Linked DNA regions of Nothobranchius furzeri. Each later gene encodes a partner of the first gene's protein in a complex. Links are inferred from orthologs where the notes say so. Each region holds a gene or a part of one and is shown on either strand. Other genes may lie near its edges.

Evidence for each region.
Region 2: eif3i (region 1) and eif3f share a complex: the UniProt entries of both Homo sapiens proteins name them as parts of the eukaryotic translation initiation factor 3 (eIF-3) complex. The link is inferred for Nothobranchius furzeri from reciprocal best matches to the Homo sapiens genes EIF3I and EIF3F.

What each region holds. Positions count from the first base shown.
Region 1 is NC_091751.1:3,239,395-3,246,400, reverse strand, and holds the start of eif3i (eukaryotic translation initiation factor 3 subunit I), read right to left. Parts: upstream 5,385-7,006; 5' UTR 5,248-5,384; coding exon 5,245-5,247; intron 4,937-5,244; coding exon 4,844-4,936; intron 4,752-4,843; coding exon 4,664-4,751; intron 4,587-4,663; coding exon 4,521-4,586; intron 4,402-4,520; coding exon 4,252-4,401; intron 1-4,251. UniProt on the Homo sapiens protein: Component of the eukaryotic translation initiation factor 3 (eIF-3) complex, which is required for several steps in the initiation of protein synthesis.
Region 2 is NC_091751.1:40,244,297-40,251,617, forward strand, and holds the end of eif3f (eukaryotic translation initiation factor 3 subunit F), read left to right. Parts: intron 1-2,610; coding exon 2,611-2,690; intron 2,691-2,878; coding exon 2,879-3,016; intron 3,017-3,091; coding exon 3,092-3,183; intron 3,184-3,264; coding exon 3,265-3,401; intron 3,402-3,541; coding exon 3,542-3,655; intron 3,656-3,783; coding exon 3,784-3,861; 3' UTR 3,862-3,933; downstream 3,934-7,321. Other genes in the region: MICOS complex subunit MIC26, read right to left, coding at 4,400-5,014; dnaaf6 (dynein axonemal assembly factor 6), read left to right, coding at 5,409-5,498, 5,615-5,678, 5,761-5,863, 6,062-6,158, 6,253-6,338, 7,112-7,241. UniProt on the Homo sapiens protein: Component of the eukaryotic translation initiation factor 3 (eIF-3) complex, which is required for several steps in the initiation of protein synthesis.

The DNA of each region.
Region 1 (7,006 bases):
GAAGAGTCTGTTTCGCCTGCCCAAGGGACCGTCCCAGCAGGCCTTTCTGATTGTCCTCCAGGATCAGCTCGGATGTCTTCTACAGGCAGAGTCATTTGGCCCCCCAGGAGGCTCAAGGACTTTGTTTGTTATTGAACCGTATAGCCGGCCTAAATGGAGCAGAATAACCTCCGGCCGCTATAAGGGTGTTTGGGTAGTCCACCCCATCACCCCAACGACGCATGTATGGTTGCCTGTTGCCTCCATTTTTTTTTCTCTCATGTAAAAGAAAGAAAAAAAAAAAAGTGTTGGGTGATCGTTTGTAATTATTGTGATTGACTCTTTGGTTAAAAGCATCTATGTTATGTTCCTACTGTCGGTTGCTGTTGCAGAGGGTTCCAATGCTTTGAGGAAAAGATGTACTTTGTTCTTTCACATACTCTGTTTACACCGTCTCTGACTCAAAGGAGGGGAGATGTCATGTGAATAGATACAGTGTGTATGCCTTTAAGACTTGCCTGAAGTGGGAGGAGTTTAGAAGGAGTTCGGCGGGCTGAGAAATAAACACGACACCTCTTGAGCTGAAGAACGTTGAGTCATTTTTATTACATTGGTTGTACTTAGAACACCCGGTGTACGCCCGGCTGTAACAGGAGGGAGACACGCGATTATCGCTTTGTCGCGCGTGTCTCATTGAAAATGAATGGAGAGGCAAAGTTGCCTCCCGTGTGTCGAGCCCATTAGAAGAGCACGAGCCGTCAGCACACGCAATGAGGAAGTGCACGTGCGCTCTAAACCAGGACTAGACCAGTAAAGTGAAGCATTATTTGGCTGTTTATAATTTTCACAATGTCTGGTTTGCACTGATATGCTCCGAGCCCGCACAATGTTTTACCAGTGTCGGTACAGGATCTGCTCGGGTGCAAGATCGGCTCGGGGTCCGTCGACTGCCGATGATGTCTAAGTAGTTGATTGGCTGAACATGAACCTCACGGAATTACGTAATCACGTTACGTTGTTATCACGTTACGTTGGTCCAGGCAAATCTTTCTATTGGAAAGATGGACAACTTTTACAAAGAAATCCATCATTACCTCTTTGAAAATACACTTTTAGCATAGAGCTGCATGTATATTAGGGCTGAACGATTAACTGCATGTGCAATTAAATTGCGATGTGACAAAAGGAGATTTTCTAATCTCAAAGGCTGCAATTTGGCAGCGAGTGGTTAGCGCAATGCTAATATACATGGAAAAACCCATAGGAATGCTAATGCTAATATCGCCGATTACATTATTACAAATTATGAATTAGAAACGTGCCAAATGATTACATTTAGAGTCTAGTAGAAAGTAAAAAATACCATCAATCAAATAAGTACAGACAGGTATTTTAGTAAAGCCAGAAAACTTTTAACTCCAGAGTTTTGGCTAGCAGCTATGAGCGTAACTGAACTACGCATGGACAAGACGTCAAAAACTCTAAACACAAAATACTTCAATAAACGGGACACACTTCTTTCCTGCAAATACAATTTCACAGGTGTTGCTAATACCTATGATTCTTCAAGGGATGTGCTCAAAGAGGAGTTCAACATTATGAATACAATATAGTGTTTTATTTTACAAATACCATTATAAACACAAACTTACGTCTTAAGAAACATTATTTTAATAACGAAACTGCTAAATTCTTTCCAACAGTATAGATGTGTAGTGTATTTTGTCCGAGTCGGTTTGCCGTACTTTGACGTCATCGGCAGTCAAAGGACCCCGAGCCGATCTTGCACCCGAGCAGATCCTGTACCGACACCGGTACGTTTGAACGTGCCCATGCCCGCGCCCTATAACCCGGTGCGCCCTATGGTCGTGAAAATACGGTATCTGATTAGAAGGCTACTTGAGTACTGAGTATCATCTGGTCTAATATTTTTAAAATGATGACATCAAACAGACAAAAAATTTTGAAGTTATGGGCAAATATTGGTATTTTAAAGACTAAAGGGGAAAAATGTAAACAAATAAACAACATAATTACAAAATAACACGTTTTAGGCAAAATTTAGACACAAACTGAGGACAATATTTTCCTGACATACAGGGTTTATTTAGTTGTCTGAAAATGTAACACGTTTAAAAAAATACCGCGATAATACCGTTTTCATTTTGGTTACGATAACCGCGAGGCTACATTTTCACACCGTGACGACCCTACATCACACCATCTTCAACTTGATTCAGGACACGTGCACAAAACATGTCAATTCATTTTGAAATGTTTCAGTGTGGGAAAAGTTGCTGCACACGTGTTATTGAGGAAATCTACGTGTGTTTCAACAGAAGCATAGTTGGCACTTTTATGACCTTCTTTAGCTTAAAATAGTCTCTAAATTGAGATATTTTGGATGTTCTTTAGCCTGGCACGCCAGACTAAATCCATAATATTATTTAATGTTCCATTGCCTGTCGTGGGGCGGGTTCTACCGTTGTCTTTCAAACAATCATTGCACCCTACTGGACAACGAACAACGTGGAGTACTCACCGCAACCTCTGTAAACAAGGATGTCTGCCGTTGAAGGCGGCAAAAATACATCCTTTTTCTAAATAAAAGACTAAAACACATCTGCCAGAATGCTGCTAGGAGGCCTCAGAAGTTCCGGTGGAGCGTTCCCACACCAAACATTACAAGGCAAGAATTTGGTCTAGTTCACTAGGCTAGACGATCTTAACTTATTTCTTCGTCTAATAGTCTGGTACATGAATCAATGCAATTTTGAAAAACAGTGACCACTGAGCTGCTACATGGAATAAAGGAATGAGTGAATTAGGGGTGGACCGATTATATTGGTTGGCCAATGTTTAGTTTTTTATTCATCGGCTGTTTTTTCTTAGTAAAGCTGATTTAAAGTCAGGCACATCTATAGTCACCCTGGTGCTGTTGCAGAATTTAATTCAAATTTTTTCCCCAACATTCACTAATAACATCTGCATAATAAATACTCTAAATCAGGGGTGCCCAATCCTGGTCCTGGAGGGCCGGTGTCGGTACAAGATCGGCTCGGGGTCCTTCGACTGCCGATGACGTCAAAGTACGGCAAACCCACTCGGACAAAATACAGTACACATCTATACTGTTGGAAAGAATTTAGCAGTTTCCTTATTAAAATAATGTTTCTTAAGACGTAAGTTTGTGTTTATAATGGTATTTGTAAAATAAAACACTATATTGTAGTCATGATGTTGAACTCCTCTTTGAGCACATCCCTTGAAGAATCATAGGTATTAGCAACACCTGTGAAATTGTATTTGCAGGAAAGAAGTGTGTCCCATTTATTGAAGTATTTTGTGTTTAGAGTTTTTGACGTCTTGTCCATGCGTAGTTCATTACGCTCATAGCTGCTAGCCAAAACTCTGGAGTTAAAAGTTTTCTGGCTTTACTAAAATACCTGTCTGTACTTATTTGATTGATGGTATTTTTACTTTCTATTAGACTCCAAATGTAATCATTTGGCACGTTTCTAATTCATAATTTGATCATGTAATCGGCGATATTAGCATTAGCATTCCTATGGGTTTTTCCATGTATATTAGCATTGCGCTAACCACTCGCTGCCAAATTGCAGCCTTTGCGATTAGAAAATCTCCTTTTGTCACATCGCAATTTAATTACACATGCAGTTAATCGTTCAGCCCTAATATACATGCAGCTCTATGCTCAAAGTGTATTTTCAAAGAGGTAATGATGGATTTCTTTGTAAAAGTTGTCCATCTTTCCAACAGAAAGATTTGCCTGGACCAACGTAACGTGATAACAACGTAACGTGATTACGTAATTCCGTAAGGTTCATGTGCAGCCAATCAACTACTTAGACGTCATCGGCAGTCGACGGACCCTGAGCCAATTTTGCACCCGAGCAGATCCTGTGCCGACACCGGTATCCAACAGGTTTTGTGGTTTTTCTGCTCCTACAGACTTGATTCAGTGGTTGAAACACCTGTGCAGCAGCTCATCAGGCGCTGCAAAAGACCGCTAATTAGCTGCTGATTGAAATCAGGAGTATTGAAACAGAGTTCAAACTAAAACATGCAGGATACCGGCCCTCCAGGACCAGGATTGGTCTAAATTAACTTTATTTAGGTGTCTGACTGACATTAAAAATTGCAAAAAGTGTAAGAAAGTTTGTTTAAAATGGTATATATCCAGTCCATATACTGTGGCCACACCATTGCAGAACATGTGTGCGTGTGTGTGTTTGCGCATTTAATGTTTACCTATTTGCTGTGGATCCCTCAGGTCAAAGAAGTTCAGGAAGCACTGGTAACCCATCTGCTTGTCGGTGGAGAACATGATGATGTTGCCGCTGAAGTCGAACCCACACGTCCTGACGGCAGAGTTGGTGTTGAGCAGAGCCAGCTGTTTACCTGTGAAAACACATTAAAGATGTCATTTAGACAGCATGATGTCAGGTTTACAAACTATCCCAATACCCTAAAAATCATGTCCACCTCTTTGGAAAAGCACATTGTTAAGGTTTACTTACCAGTCTCACAGTCCCACAGCCTGCAGCTGTTGTCTGCTGATCCTGTTAACACGTTCTTTGTGTCCCCTGAGACAACTAGTTAAGATGCCTAACTTCACTGACAGACACCCCTAGCTTACATTAGGCAGAGGTGCAAAGGATACAGTCACAGTCAACACACCACACAGCTCCGGTGTGTCCATTGTAGGTCCCGAGCCTCTCTCCGTTCACAGAGTACCACGCGTTGGCAACCTGGATAGCAGCAGAACAGCAGGGATGAGTTTGGCTGCTCCCAAACGTCGTGTTGAATGATCCGACAGAAGAGCGAGTGTGTACCAACTCACTGTATCTTTAGCCACCGAGAAGAGCAGATCTCCTTCTCTGTTGTATTTGATTTGTGTGATGGACCTCTCGTGGCCCTGGAGCAAAATGGGTTTCTAGAAACACCGATAACGGTTCAGATTAAGCTAGCATTTACACATGACTGTTTTAATTGAAAAAAGAAAGAATAACGTAGCTTTGACTTGCCTAGGCGTAAAGCACCAACACTATACGAGTCACAGAAATCTCTTTCATAGCTTAGCTAACTCAAGACTTCTGCCAAAATGAATATGTACATTAGCTAACGTGAAAAGCTATAGCTAGCCACAACAGACAAAGTAAAACCCCAAACTACAGCGACAAGCTAAAGAACAAAAACTGAAAACCGCCAGGTAAACATTGCCTTGTAAATAAATATACCAACCATTGTCGTCAGCTAGGTGTTTCCAGATGCTTTAGTCAATTTGCTGCGCCTCACAATGGGAGAAAAGTTAAACCCTCATGTGTCAGACACCGGAGCTGTGGCGGAAGAGAAGGCTTCCATTTTCTTCTTCGATGGTATTAACCGCAGATGGACGACCTGCCGCCCCCTCCTGGACAAATGTGGTATGAAGGACTTTCTGGAATCTAGAAAATAAAGTAATTTGATCCCAAACTTGTGCTCGTTTCAGTCCTGCTCCTTATCAGCTCATTTGTGAATATTTAATCCCGAATACTGCTACATACATGATATTTATCAACATAATGTATGATAACATGCCACCCTCCTGTATAAGTTGTAAATCATTTTGCATTTCTGTCAGTCACGAAACCACTCCTTCCTCACCAGTTTCTTTTATTACGTTTAGTTTCTGTCACTTAAATTTACTTTTCTGACAGTGATTTTATTGGATTCTTTTTGAAGGTCATCAAATACAGTATTTAAAAAGAAAAATTAGTCCTGTGCCCTTCATTCTGGAAATATGGTGACACAAAATCTCAAAAATCACAATAAATTATCTCCATAGTTCTCAAAATTCTCATTATGACACAAATAATTCACTGTAAAAAATAATCTGCCAGAAAATCAGACATACTCTAATTTTATTTAAAATCAGGGCCAGAAAATAACATACTGCAAAAGATAAACTACAACAGGGAGACATCTTTGGTTTATATGAAAAGTAAACAGTACAGTGAATACATCCTATGGTAGACTGAAAAACATTTGCATTTCTGTTTCGGATGGCATTGCTTTGTCGAAACTACATATGTAGTGCACAGGGGAAACAGGCGTGTGTTTGGAGGAAACCAAATCAAATTAGACTTCTCCTCTCAGTTTTCTCACTTGGCTCAGATCAATGCACATTTCAAAAGCACCCAATGTAAAAGTATCAACCCCTTGGAAGAAAAAGGCCTTAAACTGTGAGATATGTCGTCCCCGACACATTTATGCAGAACAGTGGATATGATGAGATTACATTCTCAGCTAAGTGCTCGTGGGTCGAGGCCACAGAATAAAACCAAGATGCAAGCGTTGCATAGAGGAACTTTGACATTCTTTAGAATAAACCTGACCAGAAGCCTTTGCCGTTCCCAGGACCATCACAGATATAAACAGGTACATCCCACACACACACGGAACAAAGATGGAGTTAAATGAGATAAAAGTGCTAATACTAATAACTAAACTGGTAATGTGCAACATAACCCAGGAGAGGTAAGGATGACAAATTTGGAGTAAAATGAATGAAAATGATCAGCTTAAATGAAAATATCCTTTATTTTAACCCCCGATATCAGTGACTGTATGATTTCAACAATAAATACAGACTCACATTTAAACACTACACAAATGAATAAGAGTTCAAACGTTTTAGTTCTAAAACGTTCTTTAATAATCCAGGATTTACTCTGCCAAAAAAAATCATAATAAAAAAAGGATAAAAGGCTGGACTGAAAAGCTTCCCTCAACAGTCCCACACAGCTCTTACTTAAAGGAAGGAATGGTAGAGATGGAAGAAAACAACACTTAAGACACACACACACACACACACACACCTGTGGTAAACCTGCTTAGGTGGTGTCCTCCCACACAGCTCAGTAAAGCCTTCAGCAACAACTCTAGTTATTGTAATAAAATGATCTGAACTAGCTTAGTTTCAGCTGGAGAGGATGGGGTGAAGGAAGCCCGTCTGCAGATGACG
Region 2 (7,321 bases), about 37 Mb from region 1:
CTCCCAGTCTCAGGGCGGACACTCTACCTCTAGGCCGCTGAGAAAGGTACTTCTTTATGTTGCAAGCTTGTGTGTTATGTGCATCACAGCCAGCGATCCAAACAGCAGCCCCCCCCCCCCCCCCCCCCCCCCCCAAAAATCCGGCCCTCTTGCTTCTGGGTCTTTTTTGTGAGTAGCCCTCGGACCGTTATAACTGAGGACCCCTGTACGGTGTAGATGATTATTGATGTTGCAGTATTGAAAATGTAATAACATGGTAATATTGACATGAGCAGTAGCAATAATGCAAAGGCTTCCAACAAATGACAAACTCAAGCTGCAAACAACTGTCCTAAATCCCTACATGTAGTGTTGATAGTGTCATAAGATAACGTGGGTGTATCACAACCGATATTGTCATTAAATAATAATATGACCTGTGCTGCCCTCATCATTATTTCCACTTGTACCATCAGCATCATCACCACTACTGCCTTGATAAACTGCTATGTAGAAAACAAATGTGACCTGGTTCTTCTATGTAACAGCTGCTCTGTCTGCTGAGGTTTGTAGTCCAGGAACGGTTCGGCAAAAACATCTCATGAAATTCTGTTCACAATATTATCGCTCTCTTCTCTTAGCATTGGATTTTACCATGAACTCACATTTCCTTTTGATGGTTGAGGTCAAACTTAAACATGCACACACACACACACACACACACACACACACACACACACACACACACACACACACACACACAAACATTTACACACACATCCATACACGGCCATAAAATTAAGCTAACAGTGAAACATTTGTAAGCACTTATCTATGAATAAAACTATATCTATAAAAGGAGGATATCAATTAGAAATAATACAGCCTAACCATATGCTTGTTCCAATAAAAAAGTTTTAAATTTATCTTCAAAATAATTTCTCTTAAAAATACTACTACTGTGACCATGTAGATAATTATTGTGAATCAACATGCCTTCTCCGGGTCAGGGAGAAGGTCCTGCCTCAAGTGGAGAAGTTTAAAGAGCAAGTCACCTCCAACCAGAGTCTTAAGGTTGGTTTATGCTTGATGCGTCCGCGAGGTCCGCACGGAAAAGTTGCGTCATTTTAACAACCACGCCCCTCCACCGCGCCTCCGCACGGCCCAGAATTTCCGCAATGCGCACCTCGGAAAATTTCTAACCACGCGGACGGACGGACGCGGAAAAACATGGCGGACCGGCAAGAACTAGTATGGCAGAGGTTCGTAAACACAGACATTTGTATGATTCAGCTCTCAGAGATCACCGTGATCAACATGTTGTTAATAACTCTTGGAGAGAAATAGCTCGCACTGTCGGAAAAGACGAGGACGCTGGTAAAAATGCTGAAATGCCATGTTGTAAACAGTAATTTCTACTTCTACTATGGTGTAGTGTTGGATGCATGCCGTAGAGCTCCATGCTGCCCCGTTCAGTTTGGGAGAATATTGACTCACCGCAGAGACGAGCCGCATGAACCATAAAAGCTGCAAGTTGTGAAGCTCGTTCCATCCGCGAGCCGCATCACCAAGCGGAAAGTGAATGCGTCAAGCATAAACCAAGCTTTACTCCACTCCCACTTCCTGTTTAAAAAAATGCAACAAATGCTGTTGCCTAGCAGACCGAGAGGGCGGAGCCACTAACAAATACACACACACAGGCTCACAACAACATTGTGACATAATAGTGTGCCAGCTAACATCATAGTGTACCTCTTTGCCAATAGCGATGGCAGATTTTAATTCAAATGCAGAGTTTTTACCTGAAGAGGGCACAACGACAGTTATAGGCAGAAGATTTAAAGTTTAATTAAGATGCACTACAGTGCCAAAATATTAACAACACGTGTCTACATCATGATTAGACAGTCGTTTATGTAGTTTATCAGCAAAAAAAGGGTTGATTTGGGGGTGACTTGCTCTGGAGGTATCTCAGGGTCTTGTTCTCTAGTGAGGGAAAGTTGGAGCGCGAGATCGACAGGCAGATATGTGCTGCACCTGCAGTGCTGCAGGCGTTGTACTAATCTGTCGTGGTGAAGAGAGCTTCGCCATCTGGCTCAGCTCTCGAATTATCGGTCAATCTACGTTCCTACCCTCACCTATGCTCACGAGCTTTGGGTTGTGACCGAAAGAACGAGATCGCAGATACAAGCGGTCAAAAAGAGTTTTCTCTGCAGGGTGGCTGGGCCCTCCCTTAGAGACAGGGTGAGAAGCTTGGTCATCCAGGAGGGGCTCAGAGTAGATTCGCTGCTCCTTCCCATTGAGAGGAGCCAGTTGAGGTGGCTCAGGCATCTGATTAGGATGCCTCCTGGACTCCTCCCTGGTGAGGTTTTCCAGGCACGTCCAACCGGGAGGAGACCTAAAGGTAGACCCAGGACACGGTGGAGGGACTATGTCTCTCGCCTGGCCAGGGAGCGCCTTGGGATTCCCCCGGAGGAGCTGGCCCAAGTGGCCGGGGAGGGGGAAGTCTGAACCTCTCGACTTAGGCTGCTGCCCCCACGACCCGACTCTGGATAAGTTGAAGAAAATGGAATAACATTCTTTCCAAAGGCTGTTGAGTAAAGATTTGGTCATTATTTTCTCTGATGGCAGGTTGCTGTGGACATGGAGTTTGCCAAGAACATGTATGAGCTTCACAAGAGGGTGTCACCCACTGAGGTCATCATTGGATGGTATGTCCGCTGCTTATATATATATATATATATATATATATATATATATATATATATATATATATATATATATATATATATATATATATATATATATATATATATATATATATATATATATATATATATATATATATTTTATATTAAAGAGAAGCCAAATTCTTGAACAAATGCACTCTTCCTGACAGGTATGCCACAGGGTTCGACATCACTGAACACTCTGTTCTCATCCACGAGTACTACAGCCGTGAGGCCACCAACCCCATTCACCTGACAGTGGACACGGCGCTGCAAAGCGGCAAAATGAACATCCGCGCTTACGTCAGGTCATCTGAGCTTCCTGTCCATGAATCTTTTAATGTGATCAACAGTGAGAGTGACCCTGTGTGTGTGTCTTTTAGTGCCCAGATGGGTGTACCAGGAAAAACAGTTGGTGTTATGTTCACCCCACTGACTGTCAAGTACATCCACTATGACACAGAGAGGATAGGAAGTAAGAGTGCCGAGAATAAATAAAATAACGGCCTCGTTTTAGTAGATTTTAACCGTACTTCATACTCCGTGTGTGTTCCAGTGGATCTGTTACAGAGGACACGTTTGGCTACCACACGTACCAAGGGCCTGACCTCTGACCTGTCTCAGGTGGGTGGTGCTGCAGCCAGGATACAGGACATGCTGACCACTGTTCTCGCATACATCGAGGACGTACTGGTGAGTGAACTTTAAAAATAAACTATTATTTACACCTTTATACTAATTAATTTAGTGTTTTAAGTCATTGTAGAAAACGTTTAGTTGGTGTTGATTAAAACGCTGATCATGGCTGTAAGATTAAGGTTGGTTTGTCTCAGTCAGGAAAAGTGACAGCAGATAACAGCGTGGGCCGCTTCCTCATGGACCTGGTCAACAAGGTGCCGACCATCTCAGCTGAGGACTTTGAGAACATGCTTAATTCCAACATCAACGTAAGAGATCCTCAACTGTACTGACTTCAGTTAGACCTTGCATTTGCCTTACCTCTATTGTCCCTTTGCATTACTGTAAATATGTTGCTTATTCTGGTGTAATCATGTAAATACTGTCATTGCTGCAGGACCTGCTGATGGTGACCTACCTGTCCAACCTGACCCAAGCACAGATTGCCCTAAACGAGAAGCTGGTGCTGCTCTGAGGACATTTCTGTAGATCATATTTAATTTTTTTTTTTAATTTTGGCCGAGAGAAATAAAGATGTTACCAGTCATTTATTTGTTTTCATTGGCACTGCCTTAGGTGAGTTTGTGACAACAAAACATGCAAAATGGGAACTAGTATTCAAAAGAATGATCATTTATTCATTTAAAACATGTTGCTTGTTTTACAGCTCATGGTTTTGGGATTTCCAAGATGTAGTTTAACTTATCAAAAACAATCATAAGTCAGGTTCCTATTACAGAACCAGAACAGCTTTCGTTTTCTTTGGTCTCTACTCAAACTTCACAAAGCAAACCAGAAAAATGTGTTAAAACCTGATTTTTAATCAAAGCCCCACAGATTCATTTTTTACTTAAATATACAATCAGAGGTTAATTATTCAAGTAGCAGGTCCAGTATGTGACAGGGCATGGCCGGCCTGAGTAACAGCAAAGTGCAGAGAGGGACTCTAACCCTAGCCCTAAAGCCAGTCCTGTCACCACCAGGCTGGTATTGCTGAGCAGCTGAACATAAGCCTACGGGTTGCGTTTAGATTTGTCCCCGTTTGCATCCTTGCTTTGAGGGTTTTTCAGGATCTTCTCTAGCGCAGCGTAGCTCCGCACCGCGCTGTCGTAGACGGAGTCTCCGGTTGACTTTGCGATGGCTGCCGCCTGCTCTGGGTAGTAAAGGGAGGCGCTTACGGCCATGAAACCCGCCGGGTAGAGGAGCTTCTTCACCCTGGAGCCTCTGGCCAGAAACAAGCCGAGCATTCCGGCAAAGCCGATGATTCCCGCCCGAGGATAGAAGTCCTTCGGAGGTTTCTGCAGACAAGCGTAGGCGTCACTCCCGAACTGGACGACCTTCTGAACTTTGGGTTTAATTTTGTCGAAGGTGCCCGAACACCAAGCCGAGTATGGCTCTGCTAGCTTCCTGAAGGTGGCGACACGCTCCTCCAGCTGCCCGGCTTCGGGCTCCGCATACCGACGGTTCTGCTGAGGAGCCGCGTACAGAGACAGTTCGTCCAGGCTCAACGGCGCCGTTGTCTCCTTTTCTCCGCCACCGGCAGCCCCAGCAGCAAAAACGGTGAAAGGTGGCAGTTGAGGCGCTCCCGGCATGGCTCTCTGTCTGTCACCTTGAACAAGGCCATGCATTCACTACGGCAACTGCGGAGGGGCATTACACGTGACGCCTTCTTGAGAAATTTGACGAACCGCGAAACTTTCAAATGTAACATCAGGTATATACATAAAATGAAATTATTCAATTGGGAAAATTATAGCCAACATTAAATAGCATTTTTACGCAGCTGTAGTCACAATAGCAAATACAGGATATAGAAATCCCCATCTCCCCGTTTCTTGAAGTGTCTGGTGGTTGCCAGGGCAACCGGATAGCCTCGTCGCCAGAAACCGTCAACACTGACCTCTCAAACGTCCGTTTAGCCGGTTATAAGCTGAAGTTCTAAACTAAGTTTGTTATATAAGCATTTGCATTTGTAGATGTTGTGGTTTGAGGTGTTTTTTTGAAAGGATTTAAGCTTTCCCAATGGCGTATCTTGGAGGATCATCTGCGCAGGACCTACTGGCTCTGTCTGCACTGTTATCCAAACAGGAGGAGGAAGATGAAAACTATAAAGTAAAAGTTTAAAATTCACAACCGTTTTGTAGTAATTCATACCGACTGTACTAACTGCCTGCATAATTCTTATATTTAGATTTGAGCTAAAATACTAGAAATTATATTTTCACCAGAATGCGGATGCCTGTGCACAGCTTGGCCCTGGACACATCGGACCTCCGCCAAAAACAGATGAAGGTGAGTTGTTTACTTGTAGTTCTCTACATTTATTCTGAATTATAGCAGTACACAAACTATTTCAGCCTGTTTTGCTGTTTAGCTTCAAGTTCCAACATGAAGAACTGCAAAGCAATCTGGAGTGAAGAAGAGGTGGCTGAGGGGGCCCATTATGATGATGTGGTAGATCCACGGCCTCAACCAGAGTAAGACAATAGTAATAGTTGGATAGGGAGGGTGGGTGAAGCATTTTTCTAACACACAATGGCAGAGTGGCTGGGATAAAGCTGGGGTTGAACCTGGTCTACCTCCTGGACCACCGAATTTAAAGAAGGCAGGCCCTTTCTTCATTTGATGGGACATTTTGAGAACAAGAAAGGCAGTTTTGTTATGTCTGTGTGCAGATATGAAATTATCCTGAAGCAGAATGTGGGAACCGAGGACCTGTTCTTAGGATTAAGCAGGAAGAATCCATCGTCCATGTGCTGTGAGGCAATGCAGGTATGTCATCAAACTTCTATTTGACAGAAGAAATCAAAATGCACAAAGGCTATGACATTCAGTTTCTTCATAAATACTTTTCTCCCACATTCAGGTGAAAATCAAACTACCAGACACTAAAGCAACAGATGTCTTTTTAGATCTTAAAGAAACGTTTCTTGATCTGCGAACACCAAAATAGTAAGAGATCATTTGAAAATGTTCACTTTCATTTTCCGGTGACTGAGCAGCTGCAGTTCAGTCTTGAAGCTCCCCTGTCTAGGTATTTGATTAAAGGTGTGAAACACTGAAATTTTTTTAATCTTATTTCTGATTATAACTCTAAGATTTTCATGCAGGCTGAACATAAAAATAGTCTCCTACACCAATCTCCTGCTTTAGCTTCTGATAGAAAACAGTTGAAATGACTAGAAAATCCTGACAGCTCTACGTCACACGGTCACTTATCATTGACGCACTCGCATATCTTGTCTTATGACGGGGAAGGCTGTTGTTGGTTCAACACCCAGGAAACAGCAGAGAACGTCTTGGCTAGTAGAAGCTAACTGTTAGCATGAGCAACTACACCACACAGCAGAAGCTCCTCCAGGCTTTTGTTATCAGATAAAACATCAGCATTGGAGTCAGTGGTAGAGTCGCTTTGCTGTTATCCAATAGGTGAGCTGTCCAGATATCAGGAAGGGTCCAAATCCTACTGTCTGAAGCTCAGCTGTGATGTAACTCACCTCTACTTCCTAAAATTGGTGCACCTGAGGATTTCTTCCCCAGAGCACAACTTACAAGGCGTTCATTTCTACTAAACACCACTGCAAATTTAAATGAGTGCTCCACACCTTTAAGTTTTCAGTACCATTTCATTCAGCTGTTGACATTTTGCTTTTTGTGCCTTCTTCATTAATTCAACATTTCATCCAGCTGTATTTTTTTTATCCCATCTTTTCTCTTTTTTTCAGCAAACTGGGCCTCCATCTGCCCCATCCCATCCACAGTCAAGAGGGAAAGGCCCAGTTCTTTAGTGAAAAGCAGGAACTGAAGGTGACACTGCTGATGAAGCGACCCACGGACTTCATCAACATGCAGTGACAAACAACAACAATGATTCAAGAATTCAGAGAAACACAAACGTAACACAAAATACACTGTATCCTACCTACACAATGAAA